Linked DNA regions of Caenorhabditis elegans. The protein of the gene in region 1 purifies or fractionates together with the protein of each later gene. This does not show direct contact. Each region holds a gene or a part of one and is shown in the gene's direction. Other genes may lie near its edges.

What was found.
Region 2: the proteins of maph-9 (region 1) and fbxc-51 fractionate together in Caenorhabditis elegans (co-fractionation; one large-scale study listed by BioGRID). This does not show direct contact.
Region 3: the proteins of maph-9 (region 1) and F46G11.2 fractionate together in Caenorhabditis elegans (co-fractionation; one large-scale study listed by BioGRID). This does not show direct contact.

The regions. Positions count from the first base shown.
Region 1 is NC_003282.8:7,153,113-7,160,656, forward strand, and holds maph-9 (Protein maph-9), read left to right. Parts: upstream 1-3,515; 5' UTR 3,516-3,651; intron 3,652-3,787; 5' UTR 3,788-3,791; coding exon 3,792-3,992; intron 3,993-4,458; coding exon 4,459-4,577; intron 4,578-4,626; coding exon 4,627-4,719; intron 4,720-4,767; coding exon 4,768-5,115; intron 5,116-5,175; coding exon 5,176-5,299; intron 5,300-5,350; coding exon 5,351-5,509; intron 5,510-5,553; coding exon 5,554-5,699; intron 5,700-6,334; coding exon 6,335-6,592; intron 6,593-6,906; coding exon 6,907-6,997; 3' UTR 6,998-7,044; downstream 7,045-7,544. Other genes in the region: C34D4.3 (MSP domain-containing protein), read left to right, coding at 555-662, 703-795, 843-995; C34D4.2 (Serine/threonine-protein phosphatase), read left to right, coding at 1,612-1,665, 1,738-1,887, 1,934-2,322, 2,371-2,686, 2,738-2,818; rpc-1 (DNA-directed RNA polymerase subunit), read right to left, coding at 7,173-7,316, 7,434-7,544.
Region 2 is NC_003280.10:865,690-872,837, forward strand, and holds fbxc-51 (F-box C protein), read left to right. Parts: upstream 1-3,124; 5' UTR 3,125-3,141; coding exon 3,142-3,209; intron 3,210-3,562; coding exon 3,563-3,948; intron 3,949-4,116; coding exon 4,117-5,014; intron 5,015-5,735; coding exon 5,736-5,910; 3' UTR 5,911-6,010; downstream 6,011-7,148. Other genes in the region: Y46B2A.3 (Fibrinogen C-terminal domain-containing protein), read right to left, coding at 1-724, 771-953, 999-1,212.
Region 3 is NC_003284.9:5,785,135-5,791,572, forward strand, and holds F46G11.2 (uncharacterized protein), read left to right. Parts: upstream 1-3,026; 5' UTR 3,027-3,028; coding exon 3,029-3,095; intron 3,096-3,150; coding exon 3,151-3,248; intron 3,249-3,838; coding exon 3,839-3,936; intron 3,937-3,991; coding exon 3,992-4,108; intron 4,109-4,163; coding exon 4,164-4,256; intron 4,257-4,301; coding exon 4,302-4,464; intron 4,465-4,519; coding exon 4,520-4,616; intron 4,617-4,664; coding exon 4,665-4,861; intron 4,862-4,902; coding exon 4,903-5,118; 3' UTR 5,119-5,211; downstream 5,212-6,438. Other genes in the region: gakh-1 (Protein kinase domain-containing protein), read left to right, coding at 1-13, 63-314, 620-724, 877-1,016; F46G11.6 (ZP domain-containing protein), read left to right, coding at 1,394-1,562, 1,710-1,882, 1,938-2,078.

The DNA.
Region 1 (7,544 bases):
AAGTTCAGAAAAAATGTTCTACAAGTTTTTACGTGCCAAAAGTACAAAAACATTCCAGTTCACAAGATTCCCATTTTCCGAAAAAGTTAACTTTCACTTTCGAATTTTGGGAAATTTATAGTTTTTAAACAATATATTTCAGATTTTGGAAAACTATGTTTAAAATTACTTTGTTTTGATAATTTCAATATTATTGATTACTTTCAGTTAAAACGAAAAACTTTTAAAAATAGTTATTCTCAAATAATCAAAAGGGCAAATTTTTGGCCATCACTGTACAGAAAACTTAATGATGTACTGATGAGAGCTCGCTTTTTTCTTACTTCCGCCGAACCGAGCACAAGCTGATCTTCAAAATTTGAGAAGTAAACAGTATTTAAAGTTGCTTTAAAATTTTTGGATTTACGCAGAAATTTAAAAGAAATTTGTTTTAAATTTTCAATTTCGCAAGTGCAAACCTCACGTTTATAAAAAATCCCCCCCCCCCCCTCCCTCTCTGTCGGAAAAAATAAAATTAATCGAAATTTGAATCAGTTCGAGAAAATTACATCGAAATGGGAGTCGAGTTATCGTTGGATCCGCCAGTCTGCCCAATCCAAGCCAATGGTGGTGTTTCTACGCACAAGATCATTAATCACTGCGACAAAATGTTGGCCTATAAGGTATGGAATCCACATTTTATTAAGTCAATTGAATTTTCAGATAAAATCTTCCAATAACTCCAACTACAGTGTCAACACTATCTTTGGACTTATTCAGATTGGGTATACCGCTGATCTGATCATCACTAGAAAGGTATGTAGTAGTTGTCGCCTGGCCTAAAAATTAAACATTTTTTTCAGCCAGGAAAGCCGCAGGCCGACAAGCTTGTTATCCAATTCGCTGCCGTTGAGCAGACTTGCCGTGATGGCTGTATTTGCCAAGGCTGTATTTGCCAATGGACTGCCAACTGGAGAGTGCTGTGGAGAGACGATCATCAAGCTGTCAGCTGCTGAATAGAAGAATTATCACAATAAGATTTGTGATTATGAAAACTTCTCTGAAAATTATGTATTGTGTGTATAAATAAAGTTGAAAGGGGAATGATTTTTTGAAAGTTTGTAGTTTTTATTTGAGAACCGGGAAAATTACAAAAACGACCACCCGCAATGTTTATATTTCGACCATTTTTTGAAAACCGGGAAAGTGTAACCCAAATTTGGTATATACTGTGCCAATATTCTATTCGCTCTCGCTTTTACGGAAAAATATTTTCAACTAACAAAATTTTGCCGTTTTTAAATCTAATTAGTCAGTATTTTTACTTGCCAGACGTTTTTTGGCTAATTTTATAGCAGGAGAGAAAGTAATTATATTTGCATAAGTGTTTTTAAAAAATTGCAAAAATTGAAATTTAGACATTAAATAATATTTTTTAGCAATGGAATGGTCATATTATAATAACATTTTAAACATAAAAACAATGTTGAGTAAAAGATTTAGTTATAAATTACGTGAACTTCATGTTTGCCTTCGAAATCTAACCAAAATCTAACCGTATGACATTCCACGCGTCCAATGACATTTATCAAGATTGATCGGAATATAAATTCAGTTTGAATCTTTTTAACGATGGCAACTCCCGATACTTCGGCTGCGAAAATGGCGGGACAGGATCGTCAAAAGGTACGTGATTTGACTTTTTCTAAAATGAGTTTTCGAACTTTCTTTGACTTTCAAAATAATTGTTATTTTCAGTTAAAAGTTGTTGCATGGTTGCAAAATCTTGTTGAGCGACTGAAAGGATGGACTCCAGGACATTGCCAGAAGCTATTCGATGAGAAGGAGCTCATCCAGCTTTGTTATCGTGCTCGTGAAGTCTTCTGGAAGAACAATGTGAAGTTAGAGGTGTGTACAGACTGCAAAATTCTTTTAAAAAATTAATTTTCTTTAGCTGAAGGCTCCTGTCAAGATATGCGGAGATCTTCATGGGCAGTACGAGGATTTATTGGCCCTGTTGGAATTGAATGGATGGCCTCCAGAGACCAAGTATCTCTTTCTGGGAGACTACGTTGATCGAGGACCGTTTTCGATCGAGGTCATCTCATTGCTCTTCGCCTATCAAGTCCTCCACCCGGACAAAGTTTTCTTGCTCCGAGGAAATCATGAGAGTCGCCCGGTTAACATGCAATACGGATTCTTTATGGAATGCCGTAAAAGATTTTCAAATGCTCTCTACGATGCGTTCCAACTGGCATTCTACTGCATGCCACTTTGTGCAGTAGTCAGCGACAAGATCATCTGTATGCATGGCGGAATTTCCGAGGATTTGGTGGATTTGAGGTTTGAAATTTCGGCAATCAAGGTTTATGCTCATTATTTTGGTTACAGACAACTTGACAAAGTCGAACGTCCCTGCGATGTTCCCGATATTGGCGTCATTGCTGACCTGACATGGGCTGATCCGGATGCCACCATTCAAATGTACGCCGAGTCGCAACGTGGAGCCGGTCGTGTCTTTGGAGCAGAAGCAGTCAAGAAATTCCTGAACACCCATCATCTCGAACTTGTCGTTCGTGCCCATCAAGTCGTCATGGATGGCTACGAATTTTTTGCTGATCGGCAACTCGTCACCATCTTCTCGGCGCCATCATACTGTGGACAAATGGACAACGCTGCGGCAGTTATGACTGTGGATGAAGAATTGGTTAGTTACTTTAACGAACTTTAAAAAATTGTTTACAACTATTCATTACAGGTGTGTTCCTTCACTGTGATGCGTCCGGACTTGAAGAAAGACAAAGAAAAGAAGGCAGCTGTAGGAATTGTCCCCAACTAACAGGCGTGCCCACCATTCAAGGATCAATTTTGAATTAGAACTACTTGATTTTGTATTTACCAATAAATTTTTTGGTGTTTTTTTTGCCCATTCACTGTTTATAGAATAAATTCCTACAGTTAAAATAAAATAATCGCATTTTTCAACCATTTACATTCTCAGATATCATCCAGTGATCTAAGGAAATGAAACAAAATATCATATTTTATATATCATCATCATGATCAAAGTATCATAGTTTCCTCACGATATGAGGAATAACATCTGTGATTTCACTCTGCGGATAGTGTGCTTTTTATCCGGTTTTCATTTAGAAATTATATTTCTTTTATTGTTGTTTTTCAGAAATTTATTTAATATTTCCTATTCTTATTTTATTTGTGCTTCTCACACTTTTTCCCCTTTCGGCCCTATCCGTTTATTTATGCTTGAGAGTTGCGCATTTTCCGATATCAGTAGTTTCTCTAATTATTTGATACGTATACTTTTACATATGCTTCACCTGTTCCCTTGGTAATAACCTTCTTTTCCTCTCATTCTCTCTATCCCTTTACTTCTATTTCGGAAACAGCCAATTAGTGCATATCGAGATATTAAATAAAACGTAGAGACCGCAGAGATATTGTCATATGGTATCCAATGGCAACCGAAAGCATTTACTAGTGCGAAATGTCTCTTTGAGGAATAAGATAGAAATGGAGGATTATAAGAGGTTTAGAGAAAGAAGACAAAAACGAAGGTCTTCTTGTTTAGTTGCTGGGAAGAGCGACTAATAAGATATTCAAGATTTTCAGACAATATCAGGAGGTTGCACACAAACAAAAAGACGTCCCGTGGGTTTTGTTTTTCAGAAATTGTAATCTTCTTCTATTCCATCTCGACCTATCTTCTTCTACTTCTTCTAGTTTTCTTTTTCTCTGTTTTTTTCCGAATGTAATACATATGTGCATAGATTCCAACATGTTCCAGTGAAATGGGCGAATATCAATTACACCAATCTCGTAATTTGAGTGTCAATCAGACCCTTGATGAGATTCTGGGAATCAGTAGAAAATCAGAAACAACCACAACATCAAGTGGCTCAAGTGGAGCTGAAAAGAATGCATTGAACTCTCCGATCCGGCCACCAACAAGACATGGTAGAGAATCATCGGGAAGCAATGAAGAAAATAAAGTATGTTTGACATTAAAATTATTTTAAAAAAAATTTCACTATTCGGAAAAACTAAATCCTTTTTTCTACGTGCTTGAAATAGGCGGTAGGCATATAGGTAGGCAGGGATTAGGCAGGCAAGTGTCTACTATGTAAGCCCTAGAAAAACCAAAATCATACTATCAAGGTGATAAATGTGTGCTCACAAAACGTGTCTGAAATGGCAGTTCAAAGTGCAATATTTTGCACTTTCAAAGTAAGGTCACAAAAATGATTGTCTACATCCGTTTTTGCCATAAAAAGTGGATTCGTCTTATGATTTTGCCAATACCTGTTACAAAGAATTCCAATAACTTAAAAAATTGTTAGTTCTAGTGTAGAAAACCTAGCTAACGAAAAAAGAAAAATCTCTAGGAATTTCAAAAAATTTCAGTCCAATGCCAGATTTCAGTAACAATTAAACTGTGATAATTGGAATAATTTTCAGGATCCGATTCAACTGGAGAATGGAAATGGATCAACATTGAGCTTTCTAACATCTTCTTCATCTGCTACGTCATCAACTGCTGCTAGACGAAATTCAGATGATGATTTTATAAAGAAATTGTGAGCTATTCTCACCTTTAAGTATTTTTCAGCAATCATAATTTTTCAGAAATGATATCAGGCGTCGCTCATTGATTTCTACAATGGATGCAACATCTACACCAACTACATCTGTTCCAATTCATTTTGATTCTCCGAGACGGTAAGTTCTTAGAAACATTGAATATTTTTAATTTGGAGTTTACTTCAGAGAGTCTCGTCCTTGTCTCGAAATTCACGTAGAAGAATCGCCAGAAGAACTTTCAACGCATGCTGTAGAGATCACCGAGTTTCATAGAGACTTGTCGGAAAATTCATTGGGTACAAGTACAGATCATGAAGATCCGAGTCTAACCTTCAGAGTGGATAAAGAATTGGAACAATCTGAATCTAAGAAGACAACTAAAAGGCCTGCAAGTGGAGTTAAGAAAACACTGAAAGCTTCGATTTCTATTGATGCTCCGAAACCAAAACCTCGACCTCGCCCTCAGACCTCAGCAAATTTGTCTACAAAAACAATCAAAGACAAAGATCAAGAGATGATGCAAATGTCTATGTTGTAAGCTATTTTCTTAAATTTTAATTACATGAGGGGAAGCTGCCAATTTTGATTTTCCAGCGGGTCCAAGTTAAATAAACCTTCTGATGCTCATCACAAGGAATGGCTTCAGAAGAAGGAAAGAGAAATTCGGGAGAAAAAGGCAAAAGAGAAAGCTGCAGCAGAGCAGAAAGCTGCAACGGAGGTACCGTAGTTTTAATATTTTTAAACGGAATTGTAACCAACTTTGTTTCAGAAAGAACGTCGTGAAAACTCTGCAAAGTTGTATCAAAGATGGGTTCAGGATCATGATAAAAAAGCGAAGGAATTAAAATCGAAGAAAACTCAACAAGAAAGGAAAAAATCTGAAAATGAGAAAACAACGCAAGATCAGAAACTGAAAGAAGCTGAAAAGGTACTCAACATTTTAAATAAATCTAATAAATAATTGAAATTTAGAATTATGAAATGTGGAAGCGGGAACGTTCGAAATCTGTAACAGATATCAGAAAGAAACTGGAGCAAGAAGAAGACAAGAAAAGAAAGAAAGAGGAAGAAGCTAAAAATGAAAAGATCAAAGAAGCACAGGCAGCTTTTCTAGCATGGTTAGTTTTACGGATTGATAAACTACAAGTGACTTTTCGTTTGTGCTCCGAAGAATATGATATGGTTTTTTACAATATTAATTCTACAATTAGTGATTGTTCGCTGAAATCTCAAAGAAGGCTCCACCGATATCTTGGATTTTTTGGAGTTTTTTCTCGCATATAATCTGCATATTCTGAACAATTTTTGTGATATCCTTCTATATTCTTTGTGGATCATATTATGCACAGATGAAAAATTTATCGATTTTTGCTCCAAAAGTACGGTACCAGGTCTCTAAACGATTTGTTCTCTTGAATTAAACAGAGCGTGTGTAATTTAGGAGTACTGTAGTTTTATTCTCCCGTTTCTTCAGTATTTTATGTATTTTAATATATTTACCATTTTTCAAAGAGTTTTGAAGAAACCGAAGAACAAGTATAAAAAAATCACTGTAAATTTCTCAACAACGAGAAGTTGTCAACTACAGTACTTTTTAAAGGCGCACACTCTTTTGCATTTGAGAAAAGCAGTCGTTTCAAGACCAGGTATTGTTTCTTGGGGCAAAAATCGCAAATTTTCGAATATGAGTAATAATACAAAGCCACGAGAAGCCAAGCTTTGTTAAAAATTTGAAACCGAAATATTTTTCCAGGAAACGGAAAAAGGAAGAACTATTGAATGAAGAAGCTGAAAAGTTGAAAAAGGAACAAGTTCAAAAACAATTGGAAGAATCTGAAAAAATGACAAGATTGTCGTTGGCTAATGAAGCATACGAAACATGGATTGAATTGAAAGAATCGGAACGAGAGTTTATTGCCGATTTTGTGCTTATTGAAGCTCCGCCGATTCCATGGCTTCCACCGAGTAATTTGATTCCAAGGCAATTCGTGAGATCGTCGAATGGAAATCGGTTAGTTTTGTTATTAATGCCTCTTTTGAAATCAAATTGCAAACGCGCTTCACGGCTAATTGAAAGCTCCGCTTTTGGATAATGGGTCTCGTTAGGTATTTGGCGGCAAACCCAAAAATTCAAACGTTTTTGATTAATTTCGCCTAAATATTTGTCGTCTTTTTTTGTAATGTTTTCCGTTGTTAATGATTTATAAGTCGAAACGTTCGTAGGTAGAGCTTATTCAATTAGCCGTGGAGTTCGTTTCCTGTCAATTTCAAAAGCTGATTTTTCTGCCTACATACAAGTTTAAAATCATTAACCTTATGTTTCAGTCTTCGCGCACGGTCTCAATCTGCTAAATCCATTGCAAAACGATCGAGAAGTCGTCCTGGCACTACAACTTCTTTGCGCCCATTTCGTTAAACTGTGATAACGAATTCTATGAAATCAATAAACTTATGTTCTTTCAACAACAACAAAAATAATAACAAAAAAGCGAACGGGTTGAAACAAAAAAGTTAAATATAAAGAAAGGTATCTAAATAACAAAAATGAGTAAAAGTCTGGGTGGTAAAGAAAAAGTATTAAATCGAACAAATTAAAGAGTGACGTTCAGACGTTCGAAAATCGGCGAATTCTGTTTAAGAACGGCTTTCTTGTCGTATTTCTGCATCAATTTGAATGTACCGGTTCCGACAGTCATTGGGGTTCCCATAATAATACACTCCGAAACTCCATGAATCTAAAAAAAGTTCAATAAATTTTCTACAATTAAAACAAATTAAAAAAAATCGAAAATATTTGGGTTTTTATTTTTTCGATTTATAAACTTTAATAGGAAACTATAAAATTTACTTACCACGTCACGTTGAGAGAAAAATGCAGCTTCAAACAAGTGATCCATCGTTTTTTCGAAGGAAGCAAGTAAAAGTACGGAATCTTTCATTTTAACGAGACCATTACGAGTGAT
Region 2 (7,148 bases), on another chromosome or scaffold:
GGTCTCTGGGTGAATTCTCGAGAAGTATCAATAGTAGTACCATTGGCTCCGTTTGTCCATCCAGCTGTGGTTGGTCGATGGGTGGGTCCTCGAGAAGTATCAATAGTAGTACCATTGGCTCCGTTCGTCCATCCAGCTGTGGTTGGTCTCTGGGTGAATCCTCGAGAAGTATCAATAGTAGTACCATTGGCTCCGTTTGTCCATCCAGCTGTGGTTGGTCTCTGGGTGAATTCTCGAGAAGTATCAATAGTAGTACCATTGGCTCCGTTTCTCCATCCAGCTGTGGTTGGTCTCTGGGTGAATCCTCGAGAAGTATCACGAGTAGTACCATTGGCTCCGTTTCTCCATCCAGCTGTGGTTGGTCTCTGGGTGAATCCTCGAGAAGTATCACGAGTAGTACCATTGGCTCCGTTTGTCCATCCAGCTGTGGTTGGTCGATGGGTGGGTTCTCGAGTAGTTCCAGGGACTCTCGTTTGTCCGCGAGTAATGCCATTGGCTCTAATTGTCCATCCAGCTGCGGTGGGTCGCTGGGTGAATCCTCGGGTAGTTTCATGGGCTTTGATATTTCTATTGGTGTTGGTTGTGCCACGGGTGGACACTTTCCAAGGAGAGCAACAGACCATGTTAACATTGTTTGGCTTATCTGATTGAGACTCAATTCCACACACCACGTGACCCGCTTCACAGAATTGAGCTCTTGTCCACAAGCCACGATCTGCGTTTCCTTAAAACACAATTTTAAATATCACAAGCAACATTTCTGTTAAAACCTGTCAGATTGAATCTCTTGCTTCTCGGTTCAGAACCATCTCCACAGAAAACAGCAATATTGTTAGCTCCGGCAGTGTTGTTCGGCTCAATTTGAAGGGAATATCCAATCACTCTTAGTTTATTGGGACAACGTTGAGAGCTGCTCCATTGGCGTTCTCCTGGAGAGTTCGAAGCTCTTCTGCCTGAAAATTCAATTACATGCTCCAAAACAGTAAATAAATGCTTACTACGATCGCACACAATGGCGATCCCTGTTGGAACGTCGCTCGTATTGACGTTGTACTTGATTTGAATCCCAAAAACTTTTTCAGAAGGGCACAATGAGACGGGTTGCCAGGGACCATCGGAAACCAAACGCTTCAAAGGGTAATACCCTGTTTGATAGGCATGTGCGACAACAAAGACGGTGACCAACACAAGGAGGGACTTGTAGCCGTTCATAATGTTGAGTAATAGATCAAATATTCGAATATTTCTCTCTTTTATACTGTTAAAACGTGGAAACGTGTTCTTTTAAATTTTTAATTAATTTTTTTTTGAATTTCCGTACTAGTTCCATGTCTCAATGACCGATAGACGCATTTTCCACGCTGTTGACTAGCGCGTCAAGCGCGCTAGGCTTCGCAGTAGTTTAAGTTGGAAAACTCGGGAAAATTTTGATCATTTTGAATGAAAACTGATTGAGCCATGGTCATTTGAGATAATATTATTTCTGGGTCTTTTCTATCCGTGTATTCGGGCCTGCGGCCCTCAACCTGGATTATTGGGCTCAGAGTAGGCTTAAAGATTGTCCAATACTTCTATGTGTATTTGGGCCTGCAGCCCTCAATCCGAATTAACTGATCTTTTCAAATACAGACGTAGTCTCATAAAAGTCCTCCAGCCTGCTCTGCTGGAAGTAGGGATAGAAAAAGCCTAAAGTTTCTAAGAGTAAGCAGGCAGCCCTTATCCCTGATTTTTGGATTTGAGTGAAATGAAATAGCATTTGGCCTGTCCTGCTGAGGTTAAAAGTGGCCATAATGTTCAAAAAGTGCGGTCCTCAATATGATTGGAGCTATTGAAACAAATTGCTCAAAAAAAAACGCCAATCCTAAGCTAAGATATAAGTTCTCAAAGTGCAGTCACATTTCTCGGGACACCTCATGTCGAAAACGTGCCCTTATTTTTTATTTCTGTCAAGTGTGCAATTTACGGATTTAATATAGGAACACTTGAAAGCCCGGAAATGTCGGCTGCGGTTCTTGGTTGATTTTTTGTTAATACAAGCTTGAAAAATCTTGTGAGATGTCTTCTACTGTTTCGACATTTTGAAAGGAACCGGGAAAGTGTCGGCTGCAAACAAAGTTGATATTAAAGTCAGCATCCGACATCTCAATGGATGTGGCCAATTTTGAAATGGAAGCCTGTGCTAATGCACCATGATAAACCCGAATAAAAGGGCACTGAAGATCAATTTTCATTCTTTTTTTCGCATTTTTGGCGACCCAATATCTACCAATTTTCCAGCGTAAAGTTAATTTTCTGCCTGTTTTTTTTTTGCAAACACGGCAAATGTTGTAAACAACATATTAGTATCAAGGTCAGATTTGGTCCAAACCAGCATGATTCTTGCCCCCCTCTACCCTAAAATAGTTTGTCAAATAGAAGCCTCAATTGATTTTTCACATGAAAATTTTTCAAATACCAACTTAAAAATATCATAACTCAGCTGAAAGTTGAGCTAGCAAAAAGTTTTCCACCAACAAAATGTTTGAAAATTAATTTGAAATATTTTTGTAGTTGACAACTTTTCAATAGCTCAATTTTCAGCGGAGTTATGAGCTTTTGAACTAATTTTTCACAAAAAAAATCTATAGAATCTCTTTTATTCTAATTCTCCATTCACATCAAGTAGTCCGGGTACGTGTAGGCTCTCTATAGAGGACCGATGCTCAAGGTCAACAGAGATAAACATTCCCGCCCCGTCTGCGACAGATGGACAGAGGTCACCTAGTTATTTAGGGTAGTCTAATGGTCCCTATTGCCTCTCCAACGGGGGTATGTAATAGGGGGAAGACGGACAATTATTGGGTATTTTCCACAAGTTTTGAACTATTTTTTGGCTGTTTTGTCCGATTTCTGACAATTTTTGGACTATTTCTAGCTATTTTTCGACTATTTTTTTATATTTTCGTTGAAATTTTGCTATTTTTGGCTACACTCTGGCAATATTTTACTACTTTCGAATGCAGCTTTACTACTTTTTGGAAATTTGTTTACTAGATCATAGTCATTTTTTGTCAGTTTTTCACAATTTTCTCGTTTCTTTCAACGTTTTTCTCACTTTTCGCACCAATTTCCCACTTTTTTACAGGTAATAAATACCTACATATGAGCTTAACACCACTCCCATATGAGTGCCAGAAATGTGTACTACAGTTCTTTGAAGCTAATAGGAGGTATGCTTTTATTTTTTTTTGGAATTCTGATTGTAGAGCTGAAAAAAGTTTTTGAAAAGCTATTAAAGTTTAAAAAGAGTTTGGAATATATTTTAGTAGGTTACTTTTTCAGAGCAAAAGTTGATAAATTTACAGTCGATGCATCATGTTTTCCTCAACTTTAACAGCTCAAAATTCAATTTTCTTTGTGTAAAAATTTATTAAAACGGGCTTCGGTAGAAGTATAATAACTTAAGCAATTTTCTGTCGATGAACCATGTTTTGCTCAAATTTTGAGCCGTTCCTAGAAGTGGGGCAGCTACCAATATTATTTTTACTTTTAAACACCTATCAACCTACTTAAAATATTCCAGATTTAAATTAGTGGAACGATGTGACTCCCTAAAAGCAGCCGACAAAGCTGCTCCCCTCCACATCTACAAGCTCTACATGAATCCCCGTGTCATCCGAATCAACCGACATAGGTACACGTTAGGACTGCTCCGCCACCTACCGAAAGACCATGTCTACTATAGTCCATATATCAACAATGTGAACTTAGATGGAGGTGCTGCCTATGATATGGATCAGTATGGGCTTAAGGATCCCCGCTGCAATGAGGTTTTGAGCCCTGGAGATTTGAAAGTTGAAAGCAAGGAAAAAATTAATAATATGGAGGATATGACAATGGAGATGTTGCAATTTGCAATGCGGGATTTTATAAGACCACAGGGGCGGATGCAGGTGCAGCAGAGGGAAGGTAGGTGATAAGGAGTCCAGTGATATGTCGGCTGCTGTTTAAGAAAATTTAGAGCACTATCTCAGTTGACAAATTTGTGATAGCTTGATTTCTAGCTGAAATATGATAGCTTAAAGTGTTTCGGCGGCCAATTTTTGTTTCGGAAAATCTCAAAAATATATTTTTCAGACCCTGAAAGCTCTTCCGAAGATGATGAGGATGAAGCAGAAGATCTTCCAGCAGAAGGATCAGATGATGAAGACGATGACCCCCAGGAAGCTCAGATCCGGCGTATCCTCGGCGACGCTTACCTCCCAAGAGCACGCTATTCATCTTCAGAATCCGAAGCATCTGAATCCGAAGACGAGCCAGACATAGATCCAGCAGTCACCGACCAACTCGAAGCATACACGAATCCATACAGCTGGCGAGAGGAAAATGAACCAGCTCCATACAGATTTGGCATCAGATTCCAAAGGATGAACTTAGACTTCAGGCGGGACAGGGAGACTTTCCATGGGATCATTGAGTATCTGGATTATAACAAGAAAATGTATGATGCGATGAAGTATATCACAGAGAAGTTGTTCGGAAAAAGAGCTCACCCAATTGTGATAAAGACCCTGGAGCTTGGTGATGCAGGTGGGGTCTACCGACTCCCCGAGAATTTTAAAGTGAAAGTTTCCAATATGAGATTTGGTACGGAGTTCGGACTGCTTTGGGATGGTCTGAACAGTATTTTCCACGAGAGCACTCTGCCTTTCAAGAGCTTGCATATGCCTCTAGAGCACGACCACCCAGTTATCCATGCCACCCAGCGTCTGGTTATCGGAACTGAGAAAATGTTTGGGGAGAACTTTGCCTGGATCCCTTTCCTACTGAAGCTTCCACAGAAGAATGTCTACATGCTTCATAGTCCACTGTTCCATCATGACTATGTGCAGCTGATTGATAATTGGATCGAGACACCGAAGAGTATTGGGACCTGCTTTACGTTTGGTGTTAAGCAGTATCACGCCACCCAATCCACATTGAACTTGCTCGGGGATCATCCGATGGTTGTGAGCAAGAGGATGGAGGGAGTAGAGTAAGTTCGCAAAATTCAGGATGCATCGATGCACCAGCTGGAAATTTGGAGCTCCGATGCACCATGTTTTTAGGGAAAAGTCGACAAAAAATCTTCATTTAGTTTTTATTTGAACATTGCACTGATATGTAATACATCGAAATTTGAGTTTGAGGCTCTTTAAATAGATACAAACTACCTCACTTGTGCTTTTTCGAACTTTTCAAAAGCCCGTGAAGTGTCGGCCGCTGTAACTTTTCTCCTGGTAGAGCTAGTGGAAAGTTGTCAACTACAAGATTGTAGATGCTATTATTTGCAACGGTTTTGCAGTTGAGCAATTTTATGAAAGTAGTTGGGTTTTTGAGTTATGCTCTTTCGAAATTAGTTGTTTTTTTTTTGCAAAATTATCCAAAAACTAAAACTCAAATTTCTAACAACTTTTACAAAAACTTTCGTGTTGCAAATGCGTTGCAAAAATTCTGACTTACAATTTCAAATTTTTCTGTGGCAGAACCTGTTCTGCGGCGCGCAGGTTCGATTTTATGCAAAAATTTTTTTTTGAAGTTTAGCATTACACCTCAACTATGGAGGCTTATATCTTGATGGAAAATTGTTTACTGGCAAAATAATAAATATTACTTTCACTATAATTTTTTATTAAATATTCTAAAATTATCTAATGTACATACTAGTTTATAAACTTCCAAAGTTGGACTCTTCCCAAATTTTCCTTTTTTTCCAGCTGCACCGAATTCCCTCACTGCTTCAACATCCCGCTGACCTATGAATCCGAGCTTAATGTCTACGGTAAGAAGAGAACTGAAAACTTGGACCCTTTGGAGTTTATGCCACATGTCAGTTGGTGCCTGGTCTTCGAAGTGATGCCAATTGGAAGCGCTTTACCATTGGAGGACTGATTTTTCAATTTGCTAATTTTTTTTTTCAATTATGTCTTGTTGTCGTGTTTTTGATAATCTGAAATTTGTTGCGTGGATTTTAATAAAATGTTTTTTTGGTACTAAAAATGTTCCTAAATTTTTCTATATTTTGCTAGTTACCGGCTCAACGAAGGTGGTATATTTTAAAATCTGAATATCTGTAAATCTACAAAAGTTAGCAAAAGATTGTCAATTAACAAAATAATCTACGCAAATTGTTCTATAAGTTGTTAATTTACAAATTTTTTGTAGCTCAACTTTGAGCATAGTTATGATAGCTCTAAGTAGGGACAGGTTACCTGATTTTTATCAATTTTAAAACTTAAATATCTCCAAAAGCATCAAAGCTAATAAAAAATGTTGGGTATCTACGTGTACCTTACCCTTAACGTGGATATGAAGATCGTGTAACGTGAACTCATTATCTATGTATACTAACTTTCTATTTATTCCTTAGTTATGTAATAATAAACTACTCGTCTTCGCCTCCTTGTTCGGCCTCGAATATATAACATTGGCGATCAGGATCTTTCGGGCTCACTGCACCACTGACTTCATGCACATGTCTACTTAGAAGAAAAGACCTCTGAGGTATTGTTTTGATCTACACATGTCTACTGGGAAGAAAAGACCTCTGAGGTGGATCAGGTCAGCTTTGGGAAGAGGCACCTGCCGTGCTCTCTGCAGTTGCAGTCAAGGTGGACAGGAGCGGCTTCTGGTTTGAAGTCGAAAAGAAGAAGGAATCATTGCTCAACTCTTTTGAAGATGCGAGTGAAGGCCACCTATGCGTTTCAAATGCTCAGTCATTGGACGATTGCACAAATTGTTATTGGTCATAACATGATCCACAACCAGGAACTGGGATACAACAGGTTGATGGTGGAACAGGCGGAATCAGTGTGGATGATTCAAGGTTGGGTCTAATATTCAGGCAGCAACGTTTTTTTAGTCTGTTGGTGAAGGGTGGATAGACATCAAAAATATTTCGATTGGTACGGGAAGTGTGGCTAACTTGGAACCCGCAATTGGAGGATGTGAACACCGAAGTACCGTGTGCAAAGGATTGGCAATATCGACGGTCACACTGGAGGGTGGTCCGTGAGAACCTCAGAAGACATTCGTGGATGGCTCCTCACCAAAGCTCTCGTTTGTCATTGAAGAGGGGAGATGTTGGGTATCTACGTGTACCTAACCCTTAACGTGGATATGAAGATCGT
Region 3 (6,438 bases), on another chromosome or scaffold:
CAACAGCAAGAGAGTGAGTGAATGAATTGATTGAAACTTCTCTAATGCCAGTATATTTTCAGAAAACGCACCACCGAGACCACCCACAACAGCAAGCCCTCGTGCAGCCCCAGTTGCAACATTCAAAGTTTCATGGCCGACTGATAGTTCTCAGAATGATTCTGCAAACGATTGGGGAGACTTTAGTCAAGCACCGCCAGCGGTGAATGTTTCGAAAAAAGACGTATTCGATCCGTTTAGCGAGTCAGCATCACACAATTTGTCTGCAAAACATAGCGAAGATCTGTTATCCTTACAGAATTGGCCAGGAACTGGTAAGATTTAGGACACTGAAAACTGCGGAAAGCAATTGAACAGCAATTGAATTCCAAACGAATCCTATGTCATTTAAAAGGGGACCTTCAAACCAGATTAAAATTTTTGATGATTTGTACGGTGCTTAGATGAAGGCAATAAGGCTACTTCCTGTCAAAACTTGGAAACTTTCTCCCAAACATTCTGAATATATTGAAAGCTTTTCTGTGAAAATTTTGCAAGTGTCTGACAACATTATATGTTTTTGAGCAGCTACGAATAATTTCCAATATATTTCCCTATGTTAAAAATAATTTGTCTTCAGCTGAGCACAAACCAGAGGTACGATCCCAATCTTCACGAGACTTGTTTGACTTTGACGACCTGATGCTCCGACACACGACACCTTCCGCCGAATCTTCTCAAGCTGGTACGGTTTGTTCCTCTACGCAGTTATCATTTGCTATGTATTCATTTTGTTACAACCTCCTCTTCATGAATCACTAAATGATTCATCAAAGGAATCAGCCCAAACCAAATGATATCCTCTTTTCAAATCTCATTTCCTTTTTCCTTTTTCAGTTTTACAACCAATACGCCAAGTGGAGAACAAGAACTTGACCAAAGTCGATGTTTCAAAAAACGGAATTGGTTCGTCATCCTCTTCTGCCAGCCTGGATGATATGGTCAGCGATATGATGAAAATGTCAACCAAGAAATAGATTAAAATAGTAAAGTAGTTCAAAAATTATAGTTATTTATCATATTTTCACTTTCTTTCCCGTCCTGTGAATGTTTTGTACGAATTTTGCCAATAATTGAAAGATGGAAATGTACTTATAACGAGTATCTTCTTCTCTTCAATACTCATTTTATAAATCTTTCAGAAAAAAATCCATCCTCATTCCTTCATTTTTTTGTTTCTCTGTAAATAAAATGTATCCTAAATTATGCTTACTTCTTAACTTGTACATCAAAAAATTCAAATGTTTTATCGTCTACGAAAAGTAATAAATCAAGAAGAACACATTGTTCCGAACGCAATGACCTACTTGTATCGGGGTATCTCCAGAATGGAATGAATCGATCCAGCATACAAATGTCCAACCAACTTCTCGTATTCATACTTTTTCTTAGCGTTCTAGCGCCCACGCTATCCATCTATAAGTCAAAACAAAAACCGAACTTGTTGTCGAAAACTGTTGATAATAGTATAACGTGCGACTTTTCGATTCACAAAAAGGGACCTTATGGACAAGTTGTTTCAGGTATGCTTTAGTTCTGGTGTTTGAAAAAAGTTTCAGAAAATAACAAATTTGAATTTAAAAAAAAAAGAAGTTTGTAAAAAACTACAAACATATACAATGTCTGTCAAACAGCCTCTGTTATTGTTTCAAAAAGTTCAAAAATTTCAGGAGCATCTCTTGACGACGAGATTTACTATAAAATAAAGTGTAAGCCAATAACTGGAAATTGCCTCCAAGTTGTAAATTGCACATTGAGCTCGGATGAGCCAGGTTTCCAGCCATACCCTATTATTGATGATATGGGATGTAGCCTTGAAGAGTCACTGTTCAAAAATGTTCAGGTATCAAGAATTTAGGAAATTTGGAGAACAATATCTACAAAATGTCTATTTTCAGTATCCAAACCACTTTGAGGCGGGAATCTTCAATCCCTTCCCAATTCGGTTCCGTGCGTCGTCTGCCGCCGTTGTCTTGTTCTGTGTAACAACTGTGGTTCCAATTGAACATGGGCAGTGTACTCGCAGAAAATGTCAATAGATGAAGTTTCATGTTCATTTACTTTTCACTTCTGTGATTTTATTTAACAACTTCGATTTTAAATCTATGGTTATCTGGTGTTTTGTCATTTAAAACATTTTAAAGTACACGTTTTCATTGAATGAATAACATGCATATCACAATCGGAATTGTTTTTTTTTTTCATTCTCTCTGTGTACTTTCAAGCCAGACAAACATTACGCACGTATTCAGAAAAAAAGTGAAAAAAAAACGGTTTATGCAAATGTATCAGAATACCATGCAAACCAGCTGTAGTATTAAAAATTTGTTATATATATTTTTTACTTTCACTCTCTATCTATTTTTTTCTGTTTTTTGTCGGCCTTGAACTTGAACTACCTTTTTCCAATCATGAAGCAATGAAGCGAGCGTGGATTTTTTTGTTTTCCGCTGTGATTTGCTGTTTCTATCATCTCTATCCATGAATTGCATCACCGGATTGGAGGCGAAGTGTCCTACTATAACCGGAGTAATTCGATCGATCGATCAACCCTGCGCAAGCGAAATTTAGAGAATCTCCCTATGCGCTTGTTGAATGGAGATATATTAGAAATATGGTTGGAACACGCGGATGCGCAGACGAGTCTCGCAATTGACCGGTTTTTAGGAAAACTTTTCCCCCGCTTACCTCCGGACGTTCATCCTTAATACTGTTATTTCTAGAAGCGTCAGGCGACCTTTTCAATAAGTTCACTAAACATGAGTATGTCGCAAGGCGCATCATTTAATCACTTGATCCAGTCTTGGATCGTAGTTGCTTCATGCTTCATGACCCACCAAAGTGAAAGACTATATCATTTTATTCACCGTTTCTTATCATTTTCGTCTCTTTCTCACTAAATCGGTCACCGTGATCTTATCCTTAACCTCGTTCTTTATCTTTTCAATTAGGTGTTCAATTTTTTGTGATCACAAAGCCGTTTTTCCAGATGAAATGTTACTTACTTTTTCTGTTATTGGTACCTGTAGTATTATCAGAGCGAAGCAAAAGGCAAAGTAAGTTTTATTTTTAGCGTCCTTGTAAACCTAAGCAATCTTTCACAATTTTCAGTTTCAATTGATGACATTATATCCGGCGCATTAAGTCTCGTGAGACCGATCTTTGACACTTCAAAACCTATTCAAAACGAAGGAATGCTTAGAAAACCAGTGAGTTAAACCAGTAAGCTTAAACCAGTAAGCTCAAAATCAGAGTCAATTCCAGAACTGATCGAATTAGGTGATATAAATTGAATCACCAATATTGCCTGTAAGCTTCTTTGCAAGCTTAAACGGTGAGGTAAAACAATCTGGGAATTCGATTTTTAAACCCAAAATAGCTAGAAACCTCCGAATTTTGTAATGAGACGTACTCAAAATTCCTCAGAATTACTGAAGGCGGTTATAAGTACTGAAAAAATGACTGTTTTAAAATCTCCAATTTTGCAAACTTGACAAAATCAGAGCCTAAATCAAAAAACAGGACGTAATTACAAAATTACGCAATAAAAACTTACATCCACAAATGGTCGCGCAAAATTTCTAGTAAATCGAGTAAAATTTGAGATTTTAGTGAAAATTTACATTTTATTCAAAATTTAGAACCGCCATACCGTTTTTGAAAAAAATTTCAGAACGTCTTATCACGAAATTCAGTAGTTTTGAGCATTCTGAACTTTCCAATGCTTCAAAAATTTTGAAAATGACATACGCGAGCACGCGTAAAAATTAGTTCCAAATAATACATTGAAATTTTAAAGGACGCTCCAACTCAAGATGATATGCGCGACTCATCAATTTTGGGATCACACTCGAGAACTGCGTTAGATGATGTACCACTTTGCAAGGGGAATAGCAAGTAAGTAATTCGAATGTTTTGGAACTTTCATTTTTTTTTATTTTGGGAATTTCAGTATTTGCCGATTCATTTCGTGTTCTGCTGAAAACTTCAAAAAAGATCCGACATTTGGCAATATACAACTTGCTGCTCAAATACTTGGAGATGCTAAGCTTAGAAAAACTATCAGCAGGTACGGTTGTGCAAACAAAAAAACAAATATAATAAAGTGTAAATCAAATTTCCAGTAACTCTGATGCAGTTCACGCTGTATGCAAAGAACAAGGCATGGATGATGCGCAGTGTAAATTATTTTCCAAGGGATTCCAATTGATTGATAAGTATGTTAGCTTTAACATTGAAACTTATAGAAAAAATAAGTTCAGGTTCATGACATCTATTGAAAAGCCAACAGATGCAAAAGGCGGTGCACCTCCATCCACAGAACCACCAGTGACATCGATCCCCGATTTTGATGAGCCTACTGATGATGAGCCTCAAAAACCAATGATGGACGATCCTGCACAATTACAAGACGATGATAATAGAGTATGGTTTTCTTTTTCTCATTTTAGAACAATGAGAATATTATTAACAATTTCAGAAGCGCTGGGCGGATTATGATACCCCATCTATTACCCCGGTGATTCCCGTGCAAACAGCACACGGATCCAAAACGTGGAGTAGCAACCCTGAGACAAGTATGTTTATTTCAAGTAAGCTTTTCATTATATTTAAAATATTTACAGAATCATTACAACCGCTGGAAATCAGAAATGATCTTGTCTCTAGCTGGACTCAAATGCCATTTTTCGCGCCTCCAACTATTCCACCAGCCCCGCCGCTTGCTTTCAAATCTGTGCCTTCACTAATTTTACAACCGATTCAAGCACCACAGTTGGAGAATGGAATATTCTTCTCGACAGATAAATTCAATTTCCTCAAGGTGAATAACAACTTGAATTTTTAAAATCTAAATTTTTTCAGGACTTCAATCCGATCAAGCGATTCAGACGATCTCCTGATTACTACGATCAGATCGACGAAAAGAAGAAACCTTCAAAAACTTCTGATTCATCTAAAAAATCGTCTGGCAATACTGATGATTACTATGGAAACTTTGATAGTGACATAGATGAGAAAGATGAAATTGAAACCACCGGTCTGAAACAGTGCGTCCATTTTCTGGGACTTGGTGTATAGATCTTATCCACATATGTACAGTTTTTCTATCATTTCTTATTTTTTAAAATTTCAGTTGTTTGATTGACGGGTGTAATAAATCAAGATTCTTTTGAAATGAAAAACTTACTGAACGCAAAATTGGAAAAAAGAAATACTCTGGTTAATGGTCCTGTTTGGAAAATGTGTGATTTGATTTGGACAATAGGGCAAATTTGCATATCGATGTTTTTTTCCAAATCTGTTAGTGGAAGAACTGACTAATTGACACATTGTGACTGTATGTATATAAAAATTTTGATACTTCTGGTTTTTAAGTTTGGTTATGAGCACGTAACTGTAAACAGTTTTCTCATTCGGCAATATTCTATTTTTGAAAGAAAAACATTTTTTAACACTTTAAATAAAATTTAATGGCTGAAACTTTCGTTGTAAATAAATGTTGACAATTGGTGAAATAGTTCAATTCGAAAAAGTTTTGAAACAGAAAACTTATTTTTTAAAAAATCTCTAATTGCCTTTGGGATCACAAATGAATAGAAATTATTGAATTGAATCAGAAAAAGAAACAATTGAATTTTCCGAGTTTGAAATACAATTTTTGCGAACATTTTAAGAAGTGCAATCTCTTGAAGGAAATAACTTATAATTAAAAAGCTCAATGATTTACAGTAAAACGGTTTTTGAAAGAGAACTTTATCAAGCTGTTCTTTTCAAAAAATTTGACAGCAACATATTTTTTGAATACCTAGACTTGTCGTAGTTTGGTGTTTCCTGCTACACGGCGAGCCAGCAATTTTCCTGCCATCGAGCCCCCACACCGAGTCCAACGGTCGCAGACAATCTTGTACACGTGTGACCCATGGAGCGTAAAAAAGTAACAGTAGACTAGGAAGTGCGGTTGAGAACAAACAAGGAGCGGCATTCAGAGGAATCCTGAAAGTGCAGACGTTGCTTCTTCTTCGATTCCCAATCTAAGTCCTTCCATCCCTTGATGCATACTATTAAAAGAAAAAGGAAAGGTATGTGACGGGTTCATTGTTAGTCGTAAGAAGTGTACCAATTTGGGTATACCAATTCGTGCCAATCCAACGGGAAAAATAATAGAACGATGATGGTCGGGAGATGTTGGAGTAAAAAGAGAAGGAGGAGGAGGAAGACGGAATGTATACTTTTGAGATGATGGATATACATTGTGGGATGGAGTATAAAAATTGTTTGGTACGTGCAATCATAGCTGGGCTCCGTCCCTGCTCAAACGATTGTACATTTCCTTCCGTCTCGAAAGGTGTATCTGTCGACAATACAAGTAATTGAGCTTCCTTCTCTTATCCCATTCGA